Linked DNA regions of Zea mays. The main gene of each other region encodes a partner of the protein of the gene in region 2 in a complex. Links are inferred from orthologs where the notes say so. Each region holds a gene or a part of one and is shown on either strand. Other genes may lie near its edges. The genes, in order: NAD(P)H-quinone oxidoreductase subunit N, chloroplastic; NAD(P)H-quinone oxidoreductase subunit S, chloroplastic-like; Photosynthetic NDH subunit of lumenal location 4, chloroplastic; NAD(P)H-quinone oxidoreductase subunit M, chloroplastic; NAD(P)H-quinone oxidoreductase subunit O, chloroplastic; photosynthetic NDH subunit of lumenal location 1, chloroplastic; NAD(P)H-quinone oxidoreductase subunit T, chloroplastic.

What was found.
Region 1: NAD(P)H-quinone oxidoreductase subunit S, chloroplastic-like (region 2) and NAD(P)H-quinone oxidoreductase subunit N, chloroplastic share a complex: the UniProt entries of both Arabidopsis thaliana proteins name them as parts of the chloroplast NDH complex. The link is inferred for Zea mays from reciprocal best matches to the Arabidopsis thaliana genes NdhS and NdhN.
Region 3: NAD(P)H-quinone oxidoreductase subunit S, chloroplastic-like (region 2) and Photosynthetic NDH subunit of lumenal location 4, chloroplastic share a complex: the UniProt entries of both Arabidopsis thaliana proteins name them as parts of the chloroplast NDH complex. The link is inferred for Zea mays from reciprocal best matches to the Arabidopsis thaliana genes NdhS and PnsL4.
Region 4: NAD(P)H-quinone oxidoreductase subunit S, chloroplastic-like (region 2) and NAD(P)H-quinone oxidoreductase subunit M, chloroplastic share a complex: the UniProt entries of both Arabidopsis thaliana proteins name them as parts of the chloroplast NDH complex. The link is inferred for Zea mays from reciprocal best matches to the Arabidopsis thaliana genes NdhS and NdhM.
Region 5: NAD(P)H-quinone oxidoreductase subunit S, chloroplastic-like (region 2) and NAD(P)H-quinone oxidoreductase subunit O, chloroplastic share a complex: the UniProt entries of both Arabidopsis thaliana proteins name them as parts of the chloroplast NDH complex. The link is inferred for Zea mays from reciprocal best matches to the Arabidopsis thaliana genes NdhS and NdhO.
Region 6: NAD(P)H-quinone oxidoreductase subunit S, chloroplastic-like (region 2) and photosynthetic NDH subunit of lumenal location 1, chloroplastic share a complex: the UniProt entries of both Arabidopsis thaliana proteins name them as parts of the chloroplast NDH complex. The link is inferred for Zea mays from reciprocal best matches to the Arabidopsis thaliana genes NdhS and PnsL1.
Region 7: NAD(P)H-quinone oxidoreductase subunit S, chloroplastic-like (region 2) and NAD(P)H-quinone oxidoreductase subunit T, chloroplastic share a complex: the UniProt entries of both Arabidopsis thaliana proteins name them as parts of the chloroplast NDH complex. The link is inferred for Zea mays from reciprocal best matches to the Arabidopsis thaliana genes NdhS and NdhT.

What each region holds. Positions count from the first base shown.
Region 1 is NC_050098.1:176,087,645-176,091,037, reverse strand, and holds NAD(P)H-quinone oxidoreductase subunit N, chloroplastic, read right to left. Parts: upstream 1,932-3,393; 5' UTR 1,865-1,931; coding exon 1,511-1,864; intron 1,141-1,510; coding exon 1,024-1,140; intron 912-1,023; coding exon 826-911; intron 721-825; coding exon 651-720; 3' UTR 501-650; downstream 1-500. UniProt on the Arabidopsis thaliana protein: NDH shuttles electrons from NAD(P)H:plastoquinone, via FMN and iron-sulfur (Fe-S) centers, to quinones in the photosynthetic chain and possibly in a chloroplast respiratory chain.
Region 2 is NC_050100.1:42,420,301-42,423,221, reverse strand, and holds NAD(P)H-quinone oxidoreductase subunit S, chloroplastic-like, read right to left. Parts: upstream 1,422-2,921; 5' UTR 1,381-1,421; coding exon 673-1,380; 3' UTR 501-672; downstream 1-500. UniProt on the Arabidopsis thaliana protein: NDH shuttles electrons from NAD(P)H:plastoquinone, via FMN and iron-sulfur (Fe-S) centers, to quinones in the photosynthetic chain and possibly in a chloroplast respiratory chain.
Region 3 is NC_050100.1:216,381,329-216,384,727, reverse strand, and holds Photosynthetic NDH subunit of lumenal location 4, chloroplastic, read right to left. Parts: upstream 2,168-3,399; 5' UTR 2,149-2,167; coding exon 1,759-2,148; intron 1,563-1,758; coding exon 1,470-1,562; intron 1,368-1,469; coding exon 1,307-1,367; intron 1,200-1,306; coding exon 1,131-1,199; intron 1,009-1,130; coding exon 941-1,008; 3' UTR 896-940; intron 818-895; exon of another isoform or gene 776-817; 3' UTR 501-775; downstream 1-500. UniProt on the Arabidopsis thaliana protein: NDH shuttles electrons from NAD(P)H:plastoquinone, via FMN and iron-sulfur (Fe-S) centers, to quinones in the photosynthetic chain and possibly in a chloroplast respiratory chain.
Region 4 is NC_050097.1:23,630,826-23,633,943, reverse strand, and holds NAD(P)H-quinone oxidoreductase subunit M, chloroplastic, read left to right. Parts: upstream 1-1,431; 5' UTR 1,432-1,599; coding exon 1,600-2,055; intron 2,056-2,264; coding exon 2,265-2,441; 3' UTR 2,442-2,618; downstream 2,619-3,118. Other genes in the region: uncharacterized protein, read left to right, coding at 99-286, 510-630, 817-888; uncharacterized LOC100502247, read right to left, coding at 2,844-2,921. UniProt on the Arabidopsis thaliana protein: NDH shuttles electrons from NAD(P)H:plastoquinone, via FMN and iron-sulfur (Fe-S) centers, to quinones in the photosynthetic chain and possibly in a chloroplast respiratory chain.
Region 5 is NC_050103.1:163,552,443-163,555,427, forward strand, and holds NAD(P)H-quinone oxidoreductase subunit O, chloroplastic, read right to left. Parts: upstream 1,713-2,985; 5' UTR 1,561-1,712; coding exon 1,362-1,560; intron 1,250-1,361; coding exon 1,086-1,249; intron 973-1,085; coding exon 913-972; intron 809-912; coding exon 779-808; 3' UTR 501-778; downstream 1-500. Other genes in the region: Phosphatidylserine decarboxylase proenzyme 2, read left to right, coding at 2,226-2,411, 2,605-2,684. UniProt on the Arabidopsis thaliana protein: NDH shuttles electrons from NAD(P)H:plastoquinone, via FMN and iron-sulfur (Fe-S) centers, to quinones in the photosynthetic chain and possibly in a chloroplast respiratory chain.
Region 6 is NC_050096.1:42,029,634-42,033,417, reverse strand, and holds photosynthetic NDH subunit of lumenal location 1, chloroplastic, read right to left. Parts: upstream 2,524-3,784; 5' UTR 2,340-2,523; coding exon 2,298-2,339; intron 2,219-2,297; coding exon 2,098-2,218; intron 2,002-2,097; coding exon 1,915-2,001; intron 1,792-1,914; coding exon 1,718-1,791; intron 1,630-1,717; coding exon 1,507-1,629; intron 1,314-1,506; coding exon 1,242-1,313; intron 1,105-1,241; coding exon 1,008-1,104; intron 908-1,007; coding exon 798-907; 3' UTR 501-797; downstream 1-500. Other genes in the region: ABC transporter B family member 20, read left to right, coding at 1-338. UniProt on the Arabidopsis thaliana protein: NDH shuttles electrons from NAD(P)H:plastoquinone, via FMN and iron-sulfur (Fe-S) centers, to quinones in the photosynthetic chain and possibly in a chloroplast respiratory chain.
Region 7 is NC_050099.1:14,035,998-14,038,941, forward strand, and holds NAD(P)H-quinone oxidoreductase subunit T, chloroplastic, read left to right. Parts: upstream 1-1,185; 5' UTR 1,186-1,296; coding exon 1,297-1,637; intron 1,638-1,793; coding exon 1,794-2,214; 3' UTR 2,215-2,444; downstream 2,445-2,944. Other genes in the region: Pyruvate kinase 1, cytosolic, read right to left, coding at 2,626-2,781, 2,871-2,927. UniProt on the Arabidopsis thaliana protein: NDH shuttles electrons from NAD(P)H:plastoquinone, via FMN and iron-sulfur (Fe-S) centers, to quinones in the photosynthetic chain and possibly in a chloroplast respiratory chain.

The DNA.
Region 1 (3,393 bases), on a different chromosome or scaffold from region 2:
TTTTGGATAGAAAATTAGAAGATAGGGGAAGAATCTGAAGAAGGCTCCTCGAAGAAACTTCTTTACCTCCCATCCACATGTGGTGTTCTAGTTTCTGATATGCGTTTTTTTTTTGGGTTAATTCATTCATCTTATGTTCGTTGCTTCTGTGTGAGGGGAAAGCACTTCCTCGCTCTACTCGTGCGGAAGCGATCCATTCTTTCGTGTCCAACTCACACGTCAAGAATATCGAAATGTGGACCCTTTTCAGCGCGCTCTTTAATTCAGCTTACCTGAGCATCAATGGTGAAGGAAGAATGCAAGCTCATTGACCAAGGTGGCAATGATGTCGCCGATCCACAACGCGATGGAGACGAGGACAGTGATCTCGTGTGCCTGCGCTCTCGTGTTCGGCTGTGCGCCTGGGTTCTGAGAATCCTAAACGCGTCGCGGCCGTGAACTATTCACATGTATGGAAATCTGTACATGGTTCGCATTCTTTCTCTTCTGACACTCGTGCCAAAAAAATGTATGTATATCTTTATTAATTGCCTCTCTCATTCAGTGCAAAGCTGCAGGAATGGCAGGGAGAGATGTCCCAGAAGCAATTGGAGAGTGTAGCAGTAGCAGTAGCCAGTCTGGTAGACAACTAGCTAGACCTGCTTGCTTGATCATTCCTCCGCGTCCGGGTCCGGCTCGAGGCCTGCGATCTGCTTCAGTGGCTTCCAAACAAAGCTTCTCCTGCACGCGTGCAACAGGGCCACACGTACGTAATCAGGCCTTAGCCACAAGTGGTCCCGTGTGGGAAATTTAGACATGGAGGGAGGTAGAAGGAAGCGCATGTACCAGTTGCCGCATTCTGCGATCACCCTGACTTTGGGGCGGATGTCCGGGAGCATGGCCAGGAACTGCAGCTCAGCCTTGGACAGAACCTGCACGTAGACCAGACGAGAGGCCCGAAGAAGAGGTTCAGGAACAGAGCACTCGTCAGTGGTGTGCCGATCGATGGAGGCGCGTGCATGTAGATGTAAGCAGGCACCTCACCTTGGCTTCGATGATCCAGACGACGAGGCCTTTGGCGTCCGGGTGCAGCAGGCTGAGCCTGTAGTCCACCTCCGGCGGGAAGTACCACCGCGCCACCGGCTGCCTGCCGAGGCTAGGCTGCAGTCACCGCACCGCCACTCCAATCGAGTCAGTTCGTCGATCGACCGCTCGGTTCCCGCACGCGACGAAAGGACACGGCACAGCCACAGCAGCAACAACAAGCAAAGAAAGAGAGAAGGGAACGTATGTCGTGCTCACGTGATGTCCGTGCTCATGTGAGCACTTTAAATCGTGAGTGTTCTTTCTTAATCCAACGATTAGTGCTTTTTATTCACTTAAGTCCTCTCACCTTAACGATGAGTGTTCCTGGCCAGCAGCATGATCGTTAGATTAAGAAGGAACACTCACGATTTAAAGTGCTCACATGAGCACGGACGTCGCGTGAGCACGAGATACGTTCCCAAGAAACTAAAGGCGTGCTACGTACCGGGCAGACGGGGTGGACCTTGGTGAGCGTGGTCTCCGGGTCGCCGAGCCCCCGCGCGGAGAGGTCGAGGAAGTAGTAGCCCTGGTAACGGAGGCGGTTCAGGTAGCGGCCCTCGTAGCCGCCCTCGTGCGGCGGGTAGATGGCCAGCGCCTTGTGCTTCTCCACGTCGTCCAGCCACTTGCCCAGGTCCGGCCGCACCAGGTCGCCGCCCACGAAGTCCCACACCGTGCTGCGCACCGACACCGACCCCCGGCCGCCCCGCGACCCGCCGCGCCGGCCGCTGAGGAGCGAAGGCGCCGGGACTGGGGACACGGACACCGCGCGCGCCGCCGCCGCCGTTGCTGCCGACCACATGGTGCTGCTGCCTGCGGCCGTGCGTGTGGGTGGGTGGGAGTGGAAGTGGGACTGTGGGAGGAGTCGCTTGATTGCTTTTGAGCCTGTGGCGGGAAGATGGCTTGCGCTGAAGCTGAAGTGGGGAGGAGGGGTCGCGGATAAGTCTCCAATCCAGGCCGTAGGTTGGTCTGTCAGCCGAACTGCCCAAGACTGAAAGAGCAGAGTACATGTGTTACCACTTACCAATCTGTATTCAGATTCTACTCAGAGATCGCACACAGTACGGATACGTGAATTTTCTTTAGATCCAAACAAAATATTAAAATGCATTAAAAGTTACATAGATCATTAATCCTGTTAAGGCCTATTTTAGAAACTTTAGTTTATTCAGACCCGCCAATTCTGAAGGTGATTTGTGTTTCCAAAGTCTAAACTGTCCCAAAAGAATGTCATCAACTGGAAACCCACGTAAATGCATTTGTTTTAGAACGGAGGGAGTAAAATTTCGGTGTGGATCACGTTGACTTCAGAAGTTATTTGAAAAATTAAAATATAAAGAACTTAAATAAATATTTAGGCATATAACGATTTGAGGACACCAGCTTAAAAAACCTTTTAAATTAAACAGTTAGTAAAGTAGGTCACGCGCTCTTTTTGCTTTTTTTAAAGAAAGATGGATGTTGTGCATCATTTGTTGGGATGGTCGTGCTTAGTCTGTCCCAGCAGGGTTCCAAAATTTTATCCACTAAGATAATATTTCTAGTCTTTCACATCACCATTTAAAAGATTCTATCATGTATATTTTTCATGCCTTCAGCAGCAGCAACCTCTAAATTTTATCATCTATATCTCATCATCTATTTTTTTCCAGCCATATTAATGAGAAAAAATTCAAACGATATTTTTTCCATTCACCAATTGTGTACTCCCTCCGGTCCTGAAAAAGATGTCGTTTTAGACAAGGTTTGAGTGAAACATATAAAACTTTGACTATAAATAATAGTTTTGAAATCTAATATATATATACATATATATATATCTTAAAAATCACTTTTACAAAAGTATAAATATATTAAGAGTTTATTTGTATTTACAAAAATATTGGTCAAAGCTATATTTTGAAGACCGTGTTTATGTTCTAAATGACTAGCTTCTGTTGCATCGGACACTGGTCACTAGAAAAACAATCCTCTTTTAGTTTGTTCCTTATCCGCCACTAGGCAAGGCTATAGAGGAAGTTCGCGGTGGTGACAACATAAGAGGAAAAAGATGGCGCGCATGACAGGACGGTCGTGGAGACCAGTGGCGAACGCAGGATAAAATTATAGGTGGAGCAACATTATAAAAGCTAAATCACTAGATTAGATCACAACTCACAAGATAAAACTAGTTTTATGATGACAATATGGAGGATAAGTAATAATACTAGAAATGTTTCATAATAACATGCATACCGAAATTTCTCTCTTAATCTGCAGTGCGGCACCAAAATCACCGACAAAAATCCAATCTACAGTTAGAAAAGATGTATATTAGATGAACATCAATAC
Region 2 (2,921 bases):
AAAATGAACATCTTTCCATTATATGGCTCAGACCGACACATCTTTGCATCGAGTGGTTAAGCATCGGATAAGAAACTTTAGCACAAATCCTCTTCATATAAACCAAACATACACATTGTAGACTTGTTAACCAGATCCATACCATCCTGCCTTCTGTAACTCAGTTCCAGAAGTGCTCAAGTGATCAACAATCGAAGCAAAAGAACACTGAAGATAAACCTTGATGCCAGTTAAAACCGAATGAAAAGTAATGATTTAACAACACGGCGACATAGTGGCTAAATTGACAATTTGATCTGCTCTAACCAGTTTCATGCAAGAAAACATGTTCTAGCTAAATTGGCATCCTAATCCTACTTGATAACCATTACAGCTACAAAATTTTAAGTGCATAATATGGCCATAACATACAGATCTCAGAGAACTGAAAGTCTTGTGGCATCCTCATTGTTATCATAATTAGAAGTTAATAATCCAAGAGAAGCCATCCAGGTCAAATGTGATCAAACGTATGGCAATTCTTCCATGCCCCAATTCACACTAACATTCAAACTATATACTTCATAATAAGAGTTATATTATCGTTCCTTTTTAATTAGCTCCAAATATTTTATTTGAGCTGTATACATGCATACATACAGAGGATGTGTATAACAGGAACAAGAAGCCTGGTCATGTCGCCGCCGCCGCCGCGCCCTCCGGTTCCTTCTTCTTGGCCGCTTCGTCCTCCTTATCATCATCGTCATCCTCGAGCTCCGCGACAAGATCCTCTAGCACCACGGACTTGGGGTTGGCCATAGGGGGTCCCTTCTCCCTGCCCTCGAGCTCGTCGAGGTTGAAGGTGATGAGCCTGTCCCACACTCCTCCCTCGAAGAGCACCGCGACCTTGCCGTCGCTGACGCGCTGCACGATACCGCAGTACATGTGGTAGGCGTTGTTGGGGTTCTTGACCAGCACCACCATGCCGGGCAAGAACAGCGGCAGCTCCGGCGGCCGCGGCGGCGCGGAGAGCGTGGCTTGGGGCTGGGATTCTGATTTCTTGGGAGGAGGCGGGTTCTTGGCTACGAAGTCCTTGAGGCCGACCTCACCGCCAGGGAAGCCGCCTGTGAGGCCCATCATCTCCTTCTCGAACGCGTCCGGATCAACCGCGGGCGGAGGAGAATCTGTCGAAGGAGGAGGAGAGGGCGCGGGCGAGGAGGTGGTGGAGCCGGATGCGAGTTCTTTGCGGACGCCGACCTCACCATTGCAGAGGCCCCGACCGCCGAGTATTTCGGCGACGCGGAAAGAGGCGGAGGGAGGTCGCAAAAGGAGGCGAGGGTGCGGGTGGTGTGGCAGCGGCGGCGGGCGGAGGAATGAGGGGCTGGTGGGTGGCGGCGCCATCGGAGGAGTGGAGATGAGCGCCCGCGAGCGAAGCAGAACAGACAAAGTCGGGAAGCTGTGGATGAGTTTGTACAGAGTGAAAAAGAAAAAAGTTGTGGATGAGTGGCGGTGGAAAACGGAGAGGGGATGAGGCGTCAGCGCCACGTGGCCCTGCCGCTATGTTGTGTGTGGCGGTACTGAACCTGAATCGAGGGGGTTGACGTAACCGACAGAAGTTTTTCTGTCCTGTTTTTTATTATTAGGGTTAGTATGGAAACTTTATTATTAGATTAGATTAAAAATAAACTAATTTTATTTGAGAAAATAAATTTTTGGAAAAAAAATAAGTTTTTCAAACTAGCTCCTACATGAGAAAAAAGGTTTTCCGATCATATTTACACATGCATATCGAACTCTGTATTGGAGAGACTGAAACAGGTTATTTTAATTTAAAATAATTAAAGCATCTTCGAGAGCTCTTTAAAAACTACTTAGTAAACCAATAATAATTATATTAAATAAATAAAATACTGGTAAATGTACTCGTGCATTGAAATAGAAGAAAAACTATTAAATATATTCACACAAAATGAGGATGTGAAATGCTATGTGCGTATTTATATTTTCCCTTTTCCGCAAAGTTTAATGTGGCTCGTTTATTTTATGACTAGTCAATGTTTTTGCGTTTACGACGACAGCTTTTAGGACGAGACGATGTATCATTGCTATCTTCTGTATACATACTCACTTTCATATACAAATCCGTAGCTTACGTCATGGTCGCGATAATAGTATCGCTCGCTACGCCTGCGCTTCAGCTCTCTCACCATCTCATCTTTCTCGACAAGTCACTGTTCGTGGCAGCTCCGGCTCCGCTCAATTTCCACTTTGTCCTCTCTAAGACTGTCTTCAGCGGTTACCCCTAAATTTGGCCCCCTATATCTCACTCACGTGTCACGTCAGCGTTCTCTTTCCCCCTATATCTTAACCCTGTACAGCGGTTCCCCCTAAATTTTTCCCCTACACCCCACTACAACCATAAAATATCATTTTTTATACCTTCTTTTTATCTCCTATCAATTTTTCATTTACTAATAATTGGAAGTAGGCCCACGTAAACAGTGTTAGAGGGGGTGAGAGATGCACGACAGAATGAGGGGGAGAAAGAAACTTGCTAGGGGGAACGGCAGCGTAGGGTGCTTGATAGAGTTAACCATTGAACGTTTTAGGGTGCTCCTGTAGCCGCTATCGTAGGGGAGGGGGCCTTCCGGCGGTAAGCGGTGAACACAGTCTAAGCCAGTGTCTGTCCCTCCCCTTCCTTCTCTCCCTTCCATATTCTAATCCTTCATATGGTTGACGCGGATCATTTCCTCCTTTCCCGTCTATAAATTAAATTTTATTTATAAATTATATAGTTTTTATCCTTAGGTTTATGTTATGTAATTTATGGCATGTGGCTATGGCGTTTGCGATGGCATGGGGGTTTGCTTGTGCTGTGTGCTCTGCTCGACAACTCCATAGAAAAGTGAATTTGCAGCGGTTGTCTTTTTAGGTGAATAGAA
Region 3 (3,399 bases), about 170 Mb from region 2:
AGGCCCGAGGAAACAGCTCTCGGCGCTCCCAGGAACCACCAATGACATAGAGCCAAAGAGGTGAGGTCAAATTGCACTGGAACTTTTTTTAGTACCTATAACCCAAGCCCAACCATCCCAGTGATGTGACAGTGATACTCTCTCACAAGCAAAATAGTTTCCCGATCCCGATGTGGCGCTCCAACGGCTAATGCGGCTTGGTCCTATCTTACGCTTTCGCTTCTGCAAATCTACGTCTTCACAACCCATGGAAATGGTGCCAGTGGTTTAGCTTCGCCTTTGTTGCTTCAGCAGCCTCCCCAATTCAGGCAGACAGCAGAGGCGGGCACCGTCTGAACCGGTCGATGAGAATTTTTGCTCCAAGCTACTACGGGCACACATGTGTCAGGCACGAGCGCGAGACCTCTCTGCACATCCGAATCGTGAGTGTTTAGTCGGCATGATTGATCGAATGCTGAAGGGTTTGACGCCATTCGCCAGTCACGCTGACAGTCTGACTGACACAAACAAATTCACGATTCCGTATCGGCTGTGCAAGCAAAGCTGGTGGCGCATGTGACATACACCTCCGATAACTTGCTCGCTTTGGCTGTATCAAACTGCTATATAGTCAACAATATGATTGGTCTTTACAAAGTTCCACAATGGCGTTATTACGTAACAAGGATGGTTTATATATATCATCATTTTATTCAATCCAGGTAGCTCTCTGGAGTACAGAAGCTTCTGCAAGTGGCTCTGCCTCTGCAGGTGCTTTCACCGCCAAGAATTCCTCCTGAAACCCTCCATGTGTGACACACGAAAACGATCGGTTACTCTGGAAAGAAGGACGTGAGTCACAGAAAACCAGGCGAGTTCAGAATAACGCTGTGCACGGCACACATATCAGACAGACCTTGTCTCTGCTCTTAGGTTCTGAACATTCCCTGTCATCGAGGGCTCACTTGTAGATCCCGACGAGGAAAAGGTCATATAGAAGTGTGGAGTTTCCGGGGATGTTGCAGTCTCCTGTCAAAAAAAGAAAAACAAAAGAAAAAACTAGAGAAGCAGTCTCCTTGACAATTCTAGAGCGAGAGCAGTTTGCTTATCTATGGTGTACGAAGTCATTTAGCGCAGTTCTGAAAATCGACCTGAGAAGCAGCCTGCCGGTTCAGGCCCGTACGCCAGTGACGCAGGTATCATCAGCTTGCGCTTTCCACCTGAGGCAGGTTTGCAACGGAGTCATCAGTCATGGAACAGCAAGCCAAATTAGCAAAGCCTCTATATTTAATGCACAGCTAAAAACTGCTCAAGTTCCTGTCCGTACCAACAAGCATGGGCGGCACACCGCCGCCGCCACTGATCCCCTGTTCAAGCCCTCGGAGGATCTGCACGCGGAGAACGCGAAAGAAACAGACCATCATTTTTTACTGGCATGAAAACTGAACGTCGTTTTCAGTGAGCGACAATGGATGCTTATACATGCACACCTTGCCTGCGCCTATGCGCATCGTCAGTGGCCTCCCGCGCTTGTAGCTGCTGTCGAACAGCGTACCGTCGGGAAATCTCGCGGTGTAGTGCACCTGATGACCATCGAGAGGACGAATATAATTAGGATCCGAAGCAAGCAGCACACAGAACGCAGAACAGGATGGCGGCATATGTTGCTGAGTTACTCGTGCAGAAGGGAAATGGACCACTGTACTATTACAGAGTAGGTTAAGTCAGAGGAAGGCGCAAGGCATGCAGGAAAGAAGAGACGGTGGTCTCGGTACTGACATTGATGAGCTCGCCGCGCGGGGGCTGGACGCCGGTGCCGACCTCGACGTCGCAGTACGCGAGGCCGGACTTGACGAGGCTCAGGTCGCACATCTTGTCCCCGACCGTCGCGTAGTACTCGATGCGCGTGGCGCCGGCGTCGCCCGCCGGGGACAGCAGCGCGGCCGAGGCCAGGAACCCGGCGCCCAGCGCCAGCAGCCCCCTCCTGCCCGCCGACGCCGACGCCGCCACCGGATGAGGAGTCGAGGAAGTGGACGGCGACGAGGACGACGCGGAGCCGCAGGGCGCGACGGAGAGCGCTCTGCCGCTGGTCTTCGGGAGCGGCGGCGGCGGCGTCGGGATTGGGCTGGACGCCATCAGAGACGACAGGGACGTGATGGGTGGCGCCATGGCTGCTTGTGGAGTGTGGATTATTATCCCCAGACTGTGGCTGCAAGGCGCGCAGGCTCGGGTCTTTATAATGACGCCCCGAAATTCGTCGCGCGGAGGCAGCATGGGCTCTGGATGTTTCAGCCGGCCACTGCAGCAGCAGGCCCGTGGTTTTACCGGGCCGAGCCGCAAGTTTCGGGACAGTCTACAGCCCACGTAGTTTTCTTATTTTAATCATTTTCTAAATCAATTTCTAAAAATTAACATCAGAGTAATTTTGTTTCTAAAACCAACCCGTATGACCGTGTAAATCTCCCTGCCGCGGACAAATACGCTGATATGCGACCCCGTTTGACGTGGCAGGTCGTGATCGATGACATGGCAAGTGTTGTCTGTTTTGATTGGATACATTTCAATGCACTTCAACCCCCTCTTCCAAGAGTATCTAAACTAGGCCTAAAATGCTTGATGGTCAAAGGTTTTCTCTCAATAAAACGGGATTAGTTTACACCATAAGAATATCGAGGTGACCTTTATAAGTCGCAAAACTACTTTTGTGAAGGATAATGATGGGTTCCGGTCAAAATGCAAGCAAGTTATGTACTAATGCAAGCAAGTTATGTACTTATAGCAGTACTGCAAGAACAAGAATAAAGGTACACCTTCTATTAAATTTGATTCTTATTATTTACTTGCAAAGTATACTATGGTATAAAGACAAAATTTATTAGAATATCTCTAATAGCTTATCCATCTTCATCTCCGTATTCAAATTTCACTCCACAGATAGTGCAATCTACTGTGCATAACAGTGTTTTGGATAACCATGTGAGTAACTGCTAGACACGATCTTAGTGCATCTATTATTGTTCCAAAGAGGAAGATAATATGGATTGCCAAAAGTCTAGTAACTATTTAGAAGAACAAACAAGTTTGGGTATTAAAAAACTTTTTTTAGATAAATTATAAGGCTCAAGAAAGATATTTAGGATTTGACAGTGGATACACACACTCGTCACCATCCTATAATTTACGTCGCTAGCTGCGGCCACCAGCATCTTTTTTTTTTCCTCACGTTTTGATGATATAACGACACAACGCAATACAAAAAGTGAACCACTTTGCCTAATGCCAACCAAAAGTACAATATAGGACCTGGTTAAGATAACAGCTGATGGGAAAAATCTACACCAATTTTTTTGGGGGTGCAGCTTTCAGCTGTCAGGTGCAATCATCTTTTAATCTCGGCACCGTAGAAGTGAAAATTTCGGA
Region 4 (3,118 bases), on a different chromosome or scaffold from region 2:
CTGCCTCTTGGCCTGGACGAGAAGTGTCGTTGTTTCACCGATCAAACCTTGTTTTCCGACAAAACACGGCTGCGTTGACTCTCCGCCGCAAAACCTCTATGGATTTCCACGAGAAGGATGCGCGCAGCTATGACGCGCATGGCCCTGCTCCCGCCCTCCCCCTCGTCCGCCTGAACCACGTCTCGTTCCAGTGCGAGTCCGTGGAAGCATCGGTCGGCTTCTACCAGCGCGTGCTTGGCTTCGAGCTCGTCAAACGCCCGGCGTCCCTCGACTTCGGAGGAGCATGGTGAGCAGCCATTTCGCACTACATATATACCACTGCCTAGCTAGTGCCTGTTTCTTGTCCATCGATTTATTATTATTATTATTATTATTATTATTATTATTATTATTATTATTATTATTATTATTATTATTATTATTATTATTATTATTATTATTATTATTATTATTATTATTATTATTATTATTTTCGCCAAGGTGAGGTCAACTCGTTGCGTGCTTTCCAGGATGCACAGGTACGGCATGGGGATATATCTACTGCAGCGCGGCTCGGATTCGTCGCCCAACGCTCCGGCAGCTGCAAGACCGCCGGCGATCAACCCCAAGGGCAACCACATTTCCTTTCAGGTGACCACCAGAGCGCTCTCGCAGAATTAAGAAACTGGATAGGCAGCCAAATTTAGTCCAATCCAAGCAGAGAGGATCCTTGCTCTCGCGCAGAGTTGACCTGCTTAGTTAGTACGAGTACTTAGTAGTAGCAGTAACCAGTAAGCACCCGCTGATCGGGTGTGCTCGTTTGGCAATGGCGTGCAGTGCACGGACATGGGGCTCATGAAGACGAGGCTGGGTGACATGGAGCTGGAGTTCGTGGCGGCGCGGGTGTGAGACGGCGAGACGGTGGTGGAGCAGCTCTTCTTCCGCGACCCAGACGGCAATGTGGTCGAGGTCTGCGACTGCGAGAAGCTCCCCGTGATACCCCTCGCAGATGCAGGCAGCACCGGCCTTCTTCCAAATACGCTGCTGCTGCCGGTGGAAACGAACTTGCATGGCTAGTTCGTGGTGCTTGCTCATTGGTTGCTTAGCACGATTATTTGATTCGTGTGATTAGATTTGTGAGCTGTAACAATACTGTAATAACAGGCAGTTCTGCACGCTATTGTACATATGTTGCAAGTGTCCGTACGTAGTGTAATGTGTATGTACAGGTTCGGAGATTGCCGGGTTAGGCGTCTTCCAAGCTGAATTTACGTAGTGTTGTGCGTAATGCTTGTGCAATGGCGATGAAAGCTGGTGCTCTTCAGTACTCTGTGCGAGACTGACGACAAACCGCGTACCCCGAAATCGCAAGGCAACCGCCGCACCAGCGTTCAGAGCCCAATGAGTCTGGAAGCCTGCTTGGCCCAATGGTGCGCTGTGCAAAAGTGCAAACCGAAACCGAAGTCAGTGGCAGAAACGGCCCTTATCCACACACACAAAAAAGTACGCGACACAAGCCACGCTCTCCGCTTGTGGCTAAGCTGCTGCACGCGCGGAACGACAAAAATCCAGCACTAGCCAAAGCACAGGCGAAGAAGCAGGCGAGAGGCCACCACAAACATGGCGACCACGGCGTTTCTACCCCCGGCCAAGCTGCCGCTGCAGGGGCGTCGGTTCGCTAGCCCCAAAACGGCGGGACGTATCAGCGTCAGGGTCCCTCCGGCGCGAGCGCAGCAAGAGCAGCAGGTGAAGGAGGAGGAGGCCGAGGTGGCGAGCGTGCCGCCGCCACAGGACGCGGAGAAGCAGGCGAGGAAGGGGGACGCGCAGTCCCTGCCGCGGCAGCCTTTGGCGGAGAGCAAGAACATGAGCCGCGAGTACGGCGGGCAGTGGCTGAGCAGCACCACGCGGCACGTCCGCATCTACGCTGCGTACATCGACCCGGTGACCAACGCGTTCGACCAGACGCAGATGGACAAGCTGACGCTCATGCTCGACCCCCAGGACGAGTTCGCCTGGACCGACGAGGCCTGCCAGATGGTCTTCAACGAGTTCCAGGACCTCGTCGATCACTACGAGGTAACCTCTGTAGTTGCTCCCACTCCAACAGCTCCGATAGTAGATAAAAAAAATTTGAATTGAATCTCTTGTTGTCTGAAATTCGTACGGTCATTTCCCCCCTTTTCATCTACTTTAGAGCCACTCCTGCCAAAAAAATAAAACATACGGTCTTGGCAAAAGAAGTGATCGGTAAGAGGATAGCTGAGCTCGTTTCTGCTTTGAAACAGGGGGCTGAGCTGTCGGAGTACACACTTCGGTTGATCGGGTCAGACCTTGAGCACTACATCCGCAAACTGCTGTACGACGGGGTGATCAAGTACAACATGAGGTCCAGAGTCCTCAATTTCAGCATGGGCAAGCCTCGCATCAAGTTCAACAGCAACCAGATACCAGAAAAGATATAGAATGTACTTATCCAACGCCCTTAAAAGAATGGTTTCTCTCCATTCGATTACCGAGCAAGATGTATACTCTGCAGTCCCAGATACGATCCAGAGCATTCCAGAATTCATATTACGCAGATGCAAAGCCATACACCGATTCTGTTGGCAGAATTTTGTCACCCCTGCACAGTAATAACCACATAACGAGAGTCTGGGCAAAATAAGGGTTTGCTCGAGTTTAGATACCCCTTCTGTTTCTAGGGCACTCGAATTGGGTTACAGTACACAATACCATAGTTTCTGCTAATAGATACGTATCACCGAATACCACATGAGGTCAGAGAGTTGCACAGAGACGACCGCGCTAACTTACCAAACGACTTTCTGAACTGGATGGAGTAATGGCTAGTATGGGTAAACCCTCTACAAACATTCCATGACAACTCGGTACTTTTTAAATTCATCGCTCCATGGTCTGAATTGGTCTTCTAGCTCAATGTTCTACAGAAGCATAAAGATACAGTAAGGGCTAGTTTGGGAACCTCAATTTTCTAAGGGATTTCTATTTTTCCATGGGAAAATGAACTAATTTCCCTTGGAAAAATAGAAATCCCTTAGGAAATTGGGTTCCCAAACTAGCCCTAAATAATTAAAATTAGGGAACACCACCATGCTATGCTGCTGCTGAGTACTTCGTC
Region 5 (2,985 bases), on a different chromosome or scaffold from region 2:
ATATGATCAAATCTTGAACCATCCAACTCCCTATTTTTTTCGAACAAAGTCGTTTCTTGGCATCGAGCCATTCTAAACACTAACTTAGACTGTCTTCAGTGGATCCCCTAAAATAGAGGACATGATACTGTAAATAACAATATTTATCATTGTTTATAGAGTAAAGTCTGAAATAAGGGATGTGATATGAGATGAGATAGGGGAGTTGGTTGACACGGTCTTAGAGATTATCTAAAGATGGCTCAACCTTGTTTCCCTCCCTGACTAATTGTACATTGTTTATTTCAGCAGTGGCTAGCTGCGGAGTGTAGACAGAGGCGTGTGCGTGATGATACACTTTGACCCATAATATAAATGCTGGAAAGGTATATTATAAACCTTTGTTTGTGGCTGCTTCATAATCGGTACACTATCATTTTTTTATTTTGTCGTTTTTTATTCGAAAATAAACTATCGACGAGACAAATATTCAAGAACGGAGACAATATATTATTAGTATTAATTATGAAATGTGAGTTTAAATAACATAAAGAAGTGATGTGCAGCAGCAATTATGAATCTCGTCATCGTACGTCGCTCTCGATCTACTTCCTGATTATTCCAGCAGCTGAGGTCTCAGATTGCCTCTGTCGACTGTTCTGGCAATACTGGCATGTACGTATATACCTACAACAAGTCAACAACAAGAGGTGTGTCCTGCTTGGCCGACTCCTGATGCGAAATGAAGCATGAATTCGGCGGCGGCGCTACGGTGCCCTGCGAGGCCGCCGGCCGGCCATCATATCCTCTCGTAGTCGAGCTTGTCCGACTGCAATGCAACAAATCACATGCCACAGAGACAGAGAGCGAGAGCGAGGTGAGACGAGTGGTGCATGACGTACAGATTGATCCAACTGGGGATGAATCAGCTACCTTGATGAGCATGTAGGTTGGTAGCCATGCCGGTGGCGTCGGGATCCCCACCCAAGCGATCTGAAATGCATGCACGCGCGCGTTGGTCTGAAACTCTGAACATGTATGGTGGAGGCAGAAAGCATGACGAAACTCTGAACACAGCATGCGCGGATGGAAGTAGTTTTCATTACCAGGGCGTATTCTCCTGTTTCGAAGTTCCTGATATCCAAGACCTCGCCGCGGTCTTGGTATATGTAGTCCAGCCCCTTGTAGAAGGGCGGGTGTCCCACTGACAGATAATTGATGCTGTTCAGGTACTTCTCCTTGTCCACGCGCACAATCTGCCCTTTCTTCACTGCAAAGCTCAGCCAGTTTCATCATGCATGCATGGCCGCGCGCGCGAGAGCTAGAGGGAGAAGTAGGGGGGGGTGGGGGGGGGGGGGGGGGGGGTCTTGTCGTCGTCTTACTCGAGTAGACGGGCTTCTTCTTGAGGATCTTCTTGGGAGCGGCCGCCGGCGGCGGCGGCGGCGTCGTCTCCTCCCCGGCCGCCGCGGAGGCCCTGCAGATGTGAGGAGCGGCGGAGCGGCGCCGGGCTGGGCCGGCCGGCGTCGCCACTGGGCACGCGCGCGGGAAGAGCGCCCGAGGCGCCGAGGCGAGGGCTTCCATGGTGCGGCGGGCGAAGGGATGGATTGCTCGCTCAGCTAGTCAGCTACTCAGCCAAATCCGGACGCGCGGTGTGCCAGTGCCACAGGACCCGGATAAGGCGATCGATACACGGCTGCCTTTTTGCTATTGGTTGGCCATTTGCTTCCCATTGCAAGCGCAAGAGAGAGAGAGGGGGGGGGGGGAATCATCATCTACTTTGGCTGCTGTCATGACCTGCCACCACCAAGAAGTGGAGATTCCCATTCAGAAAAAGAAGACGACGATGGGAAATGGGTGGATCCAAGAGCCAGGCAGGCGCCCCCCCAGTGCGCAGCGCACGCAGGTGGATCTTCCTTGTCCGGTCCCACCAGCGCCATCAACACAGGTTTGACTTCCATCCTTACACACCTTCCAAAACCCCTCTGACGTGTGGGTCCACCGAGTTATCAAAGTGGCGATGGGGCCCGCGGCCGGGCGACGAACCGGCGTGCGCGGGCAGGCAGGCAGGCAGGCGGTTGGCCTGGATTCAAAAGGGACTCTACTTTTGGCCCATTTCCAACCACCATCTGCCTAGGCGTCTGTCTGTCTGTCTGACGCCGCGCCCACCACCGTCCCGCAAAAGGCGCGCCGCGCCGCGCCGCGCCGTCCCGTCCGTCTTCGTCCCCAGTCCCCACCAACCTGTCCGGATGGGCCACTCGGCGTCGCGGCCCACTGCCTGCGCCGGCGCCGGCGAGGCGCTGCCCTCGCGCTTCGCGCGGTTCCGCCGCCGCCTGCGCAACCGCCTGCGCCGCGGCGCCGGCGACGACTCGGTCTCCTCCAAGGCCCTCGCCGCCGACGAGTTCGCCGGCATCGCACGCGTCCGGATAGCCAAGGTACGTGGGCCGCGCGCTGCGAACTCCGCTGCTACGCGCATGTTCCTTAGCACCGAGTCTCGCTCCCCGCTTCGACGCGGCCAGCCGAGGCGGAATCCGTGGGTTTCGATTCGTATCGCATCACTGTCTCTGCCTCTCTGACTCTGACTTTGACTCGCCATGGTTGATCCTCCTGTTCGGTTTCCGGGCGCAGGCGGATATGCAGTTCAAGGACAAGTTCTTCGCGTGCCTCTCTCTCGGCGACCGCACGTACCGCACCGAGACGTCCGACAAGTGCGTCGCCCTTGCTTTTATTTACTGCTCGAATACTCGTCCTATGTCTGTTCCATTTCCATTCCTCTGTGCAAGAATATCCCTGTCTCGCTCTCATGTCTGCGTGCTGTGTGTCCCTCGACTTGGTAACTCTCAAATGTCCCTCTGGCTGTGCCCTCCGATCTAGTAAATTTTAACTTCCACGCCGCACGCGGGATTGCTGATAAGTACCTCAGCCAGTTATGAGCCACCATATCGTGAATCGCCTTTGCCTGTACTCTCCATCTAATTTTGAATTGCATGCATTTATCACCACTCTATA
Region 6 (3,784 bases), on a different chromosome or scaffold from region 2:
ATCTGACACCTGGACAGAAGCAACGGATTGCCATCGCTAGGGTGGTTTTGAAGAACGCACCTATATTGCTGTTGGACGAGGCCAGCTCTGCGATCGAGTCTGAATCGAGTAGAGTGGTGCAAGAAGCTCTAGACACTCTGGTCATGGGTAACAAGACAACGATTCTCATTGCGCACAGGGCGGCAATGATGAAGCATGTTGATAACATCGTCGTCTTGAATGGCGGTAGGATAGTTGAGCAGGGCACACATGACTCTCTGATGGACCAGAACGGTCTATATGTTAGATTGATGCAACCCCATTTTGGCAAGGGCCTTCGCCAGCATCGGCTAATGTAATTATTCTTTTGAGTTTGTTTAGGTGTAAATTATCCTAGGGGATGATCAGGTTTCCTTGTGCGGCCACTCAGTCAGGGGCCCTTTTCGGCACATGAAAAATGCTGGGAGTTGCCGCCCTGTTGCTGTTCCGAGTAAGCCGACCTGGTCTTCTTGACAAAAAAATAAAAAAAATAGCTTGCAGATCCAAGTAATTCTGGAAATAGTTAGCAAGTTTGGAGGGCATTGTAATTGTTGTAATATATGAGCTGAAACATTCTTTCAGAGGCTCGTGCTTGTGGTGTCTCTCGCCTCTGTAATATTAGTGTTGCACCGACATGTTCACGGAGCGTGTAATTTTGGGAGCCACGAACCGACAGCAATGCAACCACATTCCCCCCCCCCCCCCCCCCCCCCCCCCCCCCATCTTTCGCTAAACAAGTTGCCGCACCATGCTCATGAGGCCGTCACAGAAGCAAGCGATCACGCCGTCAGGTCCGAGATCTTGAAGGAGTCCGCGACGACTTTGAGCCTGTTCCGCAGCCTGCTCCACCGGCGCTCGTTCGCGGTCACGATCAGCGTGTAGTACCGACCTAGTTAGAGCAAAAAACAAACAAACAAACAGAGTTTCATCTCTCTCTATTTCAACGCGAAGCGAAACACATGAACGTTTCCCGTTCATAGGTATCATACCGTTTCCAATGGCGACCGTCGCAAACGCAGAAACGCCGTAGCCCGGAGCCTCCAGATCGTACTCAAACGTCCAGTAGTTCTTGCCGTCCACGGTGCGCTGCAAAAATAGTAGGATAGGCCGCTTATTTCACTAGCACCATTTTTTTTATTTTTTTGCTCAGAGTTATCCAACTAGATTTGGCAACTCCAAACAAATGATAATTGCATGCATAAAGCGATGAACAGATGACAGACCTCTTGCATGTCGTAGATCGACGGTATTTGGTTCGGGGCAGCGTAGACGTTGTTTACCAGGTTGAAGATGGCCTGGTGTAATGTGGAAAAAAAAACATATTCATCACATCAGCAAAAGTGATTATCAGAGCTAAAACGTATATAATTTAAACGGAGGAGAGAGTATGTGTTTTATCTTTTGTGCCTAATCAAAGTGAAGAACACATAGTTTTTCCATAAAAAAGAAGAAGAATACATAGTCGAAAGAAGGAAACAAAACCCCCACCTCATCCATCGGTCCTAGGTCGCGGATGTCTGTTTTCTCGGTAGGAATGAACCCCACACGAACACACTGAAGGGCCAGGTTGCGGTCTTTGAACGCAGAATCATGACCCAAGAAGTCGAAATCCTATCCAGGGACAAGGGAACGAAGGCACCATGAAAATCACCCTACAGTTCTTAACTGTTCAAGAATCGATCGCATGGCGCCAACCTACCCTCCATTCAGCTGGATAAAGGTACGAGTACCCGTCTTTCGCGTCCACGTACGACTTGTAATTCTTCGGCACCTCTGAACAGCTCCGATCAGTGTCAAACAGGTAAGAAACGCAAAAAAAACGCTGCTCGAGGACACCGTCCTAGTCCGATCCTGATAGATACAATGCCAGGCCATCTATATAGGGATGATCGTTACCTTCAGCGAACGCAGCAGAGCTTGTCCTCAGTAGGCCAGTGGCTAACGCTCCAGCACCAAGCAAAGCTAGCCGTCTCTTCGTGACCTCTATACAAGCGGAGAGATGTTATGAACCAGGATTCTGTCGACCACTAGATGCATGAACGGAAAAAAAACAACAACAACAACAAAAGGGGGGGTTACTGGTGTCGTCCAAAGATCCTTGGATCGAGCTCGCCGCCACAGCTGAGGGAGGAGCCCTGTTCAGTTTGGTAGTCGCCGCGCAATTTGGCACAGCCAGCTGGAAACAAGCAACGGGTTCAAGCTGTTATTACTCCTCAGAACTGCAGGGAAAGTAAATGAATTCCAGAAAAAAACAGTGAGGAAGGGGCTTGAGCACGTACTTGTTTGGATACGGAGCAGACCAGGTTCTGCAGGCTCGCCATTTCGGCTTCAGTTGTTCAGGGTAGCGCTGAGCTCGAGGGAGAGTTCTGTGAAGCTTGTTACCCCCATCGTCAGTTATCCATAGCTGCTGGACACGCTCGAGCTCACTTTTCCACTATCGAGTGGGTGGTGGAACCGTGGAAGGGCTCGCTTTTCCCCTATCGAGTGTGTGGGTGGAAGCCAAGGCAGCCAAGTCAGCATGCTCATTATCCTCTCATTTCAGCACTCTTGCTTCTTTGTCTTGGACAGAGCACTGGCTGACAAAAATGGGCGTCCCTCTCAACAGGCAAACAGCCCTTCTGGTGGGTAGGTCGTTGATGACCCAAGACGAACTGTTCTGAATACAGTGATTTTTATGCCAAAAAAACAAAATTTCCAGGTTACATAATTTCATGACACCATGATAAGCGATATACAACAACGGCCACAATTATTCAATGCTAGTAAGCCTGTTGCATAATGCAGCTAGGTTTATTTGTTTTTTTCCTTAGTTGATTTATTAGTTTTTTCTTAGCTAATTGATAGTTGATCAATTAGTTCCCTTTTTTAACTAATTGATAGTTGTTTGTTAGTTTCCTTTCTTAACTAATTGGTTGATTTTTCCTTAGTTAATTGATAGTTAATTAAATAGTTTCAATAGTGTTTGAATGAGAGTCACGTACGAACGAGGTAAACACCAGAGTAGTTTTTGGTGGCGGCGTGATGCTAAAAAATCGAGGGGCGCCTCATCCCATGTTGACCTTAAACCAAACACAGTAAAAGACACTAGGCGCCATTCAAATCCACAACACATCAATAATCTTATAAGTTTTACCGAGCAAGCACTAACATGGCACCGGCCTAGGATTTAGGCAGCATGGCCATGGCCCGTGGCAGGACGTGCTGCAGCTTGAGCTGATGATTTATTACTTCCTTTCACTGCAAGGCCTTTTGCTCGCCAAACTATGACCATAAGTGCCGGAGCCGGAGCCGGAGCTTCTCCCCTGGCTTGAGTCTGCGGTGGCCGGAACCGGAACGACATCCTGCGGCGATTCTGCGACGTCCACCAAGAACATGTCAGGGTCGAAATGCTCCTGGCTCGAGCTCGAGGAAGCGAAGCCAAGCAGCGACGGCTGAACGGCGCAGGTGTCCAGAGACGAGTCGATGCTCCTGTGGCCGAAGCCGCTGGACGACGCAACGCAGTAGTAGCCAGTTCCCGCACGGGCACGCTGCCCCCGCGGCCCGAACGCGGCAGGAGCGAGTGCCTGGGCCTGGGCCTGGGCCTGGGCCTGGATGTGCTCGTAGCCGGTGGCGGCGAACGCGTCAGGCCGCGCGACTCTGGAGCACGATGCTCCGGGAACCGCCGCCTTCATCCGGGCGTTCCTTGCCTGGAGGTCCGCGAGCAGCATCCTCGCCTGGTTCCTGGCCTCGTCCCTTTCTTGCATCCTCCTCCGTGCGAGCGTGGCCA
Region 7 (2,944 bases), on a different chromosome or scaffold from region 2:
CCCAATCCAGGAACCTCCCCTCTTGGCCACGTCTGTATGTCTAGTGTCGTCATATGCCATGCCATGTGACCACTCCGGGCCCAGATGCGCCATGCGCCATATACCCGAACCCCCTAGCCCACACACGCCCGTGAAACCGCGAGGGTCGGCTCTGATACCACTTGTAACACCCCGTCCAATCCCTGGACCGGCGGTACTTACTCCTGGCAGCTCTCTAGGATCATATATTGTCCCCACATACCAACACAAGTCTTTTGTGCGCACTTTGTCCTCACTCATGCGCACCCGAGAAAACTTCCCGGTCGGTCACCCATCCCAAATTGCTCCAAGCCAAGCACGCTTAACTTGGAGGTTCTTTCAAGATATGCTTCCGAAAAAGAATATGCACCTTGTTGGTATGATTACACTATTAATTCTATTAAGCCTTGGGCCAGGACATCCCATCCCAGGGGCCAGGATATCACAATTTGTTCGGTTATTTTCAATCTATAGATTGGAAGAGATTGATACGTATTGAGAGAGATTTTGACTTACTAAGGATTGAAACCCTTTAATCACCTTCAATTTATATGGATTGGCATAGAAGGGAAGACCCCTCTCCCTCCCTTTCAACTACACTAGTTACCAATGGCACAAATCTCGTAGCATCTGCAGTGGCTACCAATGGCACAAATCATGTCTTGTATCGGGCGACAAAACCGCTAGTCACAAGAGTGCTGAGGCCAAAGCTGAGAGACTGGAGACGGCAGTAACGAAGATCCAAGCATTGTTGCCGTTTCAAGAAGACCTCTCCCTGATGATACCGTGGAACGCAAACCTGATGCGCGTTATCATGGGAGGCGACACCCAAAATCCTGAATTACAAAAACATTATTAATTTAATCACAGTTAAAAATTACAACAAGGGGATGTAGCTCAAATGGTAGAGCGCTCGCTTTGCATGCGAGAGGTACGGGGTTCGATCCCCCGCATCTCCAAACTGTTTTTTACCCCCCTTGTTTTATTTTTTTTACCTCTTCTCCCTCATTGTCACTTGGTCAGTACTCAGTACTACTCAGGATAACTGTGCGGACGAATTCGATTGCGTACCGTCTAAACTGACAGCGCAAGTGTTCGTGCGGCGGGAAAATTTCTGCAGTTTCATTTCTCGTTCGGAATATGGTTACCGTTCCTTTTTCTTTTTGTACATGTGGCCATTGGCTAAGTGAACAGCGACACCTCATCGCCTCGCCCTCCTACCACGACAACTGGAACGTGCGAGCCTCATCACCTCCCGACTCCCCTCCACGCCTTGGAATGCTGCCTGCGCAGACGCTAACACACACGTTTCCCATGGCAGCGTCCACGGCCTCGCGCATCTTCACGCCCTTCCTCCACCGGCACCAGCGGCGCACGAAGGCAGTCGTGGTCGCAGCCGCGAGCCCGCCCGACGCCGAACCGACTCCTGCGACGGCGGACGGTGCAGGGCCGGGGAAGAAGAAGACGGTGGACACCAGGATACACTGGTCCAACCCCGACGAAGGGTGGGTAGGAGGCAAGGCCAAGAAGGAAGGCGACGGCCGCGGCAGCAGCAAGAACGAGCCGTTGGGAGGGAGGTTCGCGGACCTCATCAACAACGCGGCCGAGTCTCACTACCAGTTGAGTTCATCTCCAATCCATGCTCATATGTCCTTTTGGATTGCCGTCCAGCTGTACATAAATTTGTAGAGCTCTGTTCGAGACACTGTCATCATCATGTCAATACTTTGTTACTAACGGCGACACATGACTGAACTGCAAAATCTATCACCCAGGTTCCTTGGCATAGCGCCAGAGGCGGACATCGAGGAGATCAAGACGGCGTACCGGCGGCTGTCCAAGGAGTACCACCCGGACACGACGACGCTGCCGCTCAAGGTGGCGTCGCAGAAGTTCATCCGCCTGCGAGAGGTGTACAACGTGCTGAGCAAGGAGGAGACACGGCGGTTCTACGACTGGACACTGGCGCAGGAGGCCGAGAGCCGCCGCCTGCAGCAGCTCAGGTCCAGGCTCGAGGACCCATACGAGCAGGACATCATCAACTACAAACCCGTGCCAGACATGGTTGACCGCCTCGGCGGCAAGAACATGAAGCTTAGCGATCAGGCCATGACTGCGCTCACCATCGATATCGTTATCATCATCATCTCCATCTGCTGCATCATCTATGCTGTTTTCTTCAAGGAGCAGTACTGACAGCAGCATACCAGCAACAGCAGCAAGGTTGCAGGAGTGTACCATAGACAGAACATTATAGGTAAATTAACTGATAATGCCCTAAGATTGTCTTTTGGGATGTTATCATGCACTGCATCATGTAATGTCCAATAGAATAAGGTAGGAACGACGATTATTCATGGTTTGTTGCCAACAATCCTATATTTGCATAATCAAATCATAATTCCAGTATAAATCTGTGACATCATAATTTATTGCGTCAAATCAAAAGACAATCTGAAAAGAGGGCAAAATTCCCTAACAAGATATCTTGTGCTCTTGCTGTACTCTACTTGGAACTTGGTTAAATAAGTGAGATGGAACTGGAGGTAATCTCCCATGCGATACATGAAACTACAGCATGGGTTGTAGGTATCAATCATCTAATGCCTAACCTTCACACTCAATGATCTTGACAACAGAAGAATCACCAATCTTTTCAAAGATTATCAACCTGTCGAAAGGCTTCACTATGCCAACCGACCGACCATAGCTCATCGCAAGTTTTATCCCATACTCTTCCTTTGTTAGCCCACCAGTTTCGGCCTATTACAGAGTTTTAAGCATTCATGGTTAGCCATATGTTTTTTTACATGTAACTCTAATGTTAGGGAAAAATACAATTGCTTACATACCTCATCAGTACTCCCCATCAAAGGGTACACGCCTCTCACTGCGAAACATTGTCTTGCCTGAAAGTGGTTTAATA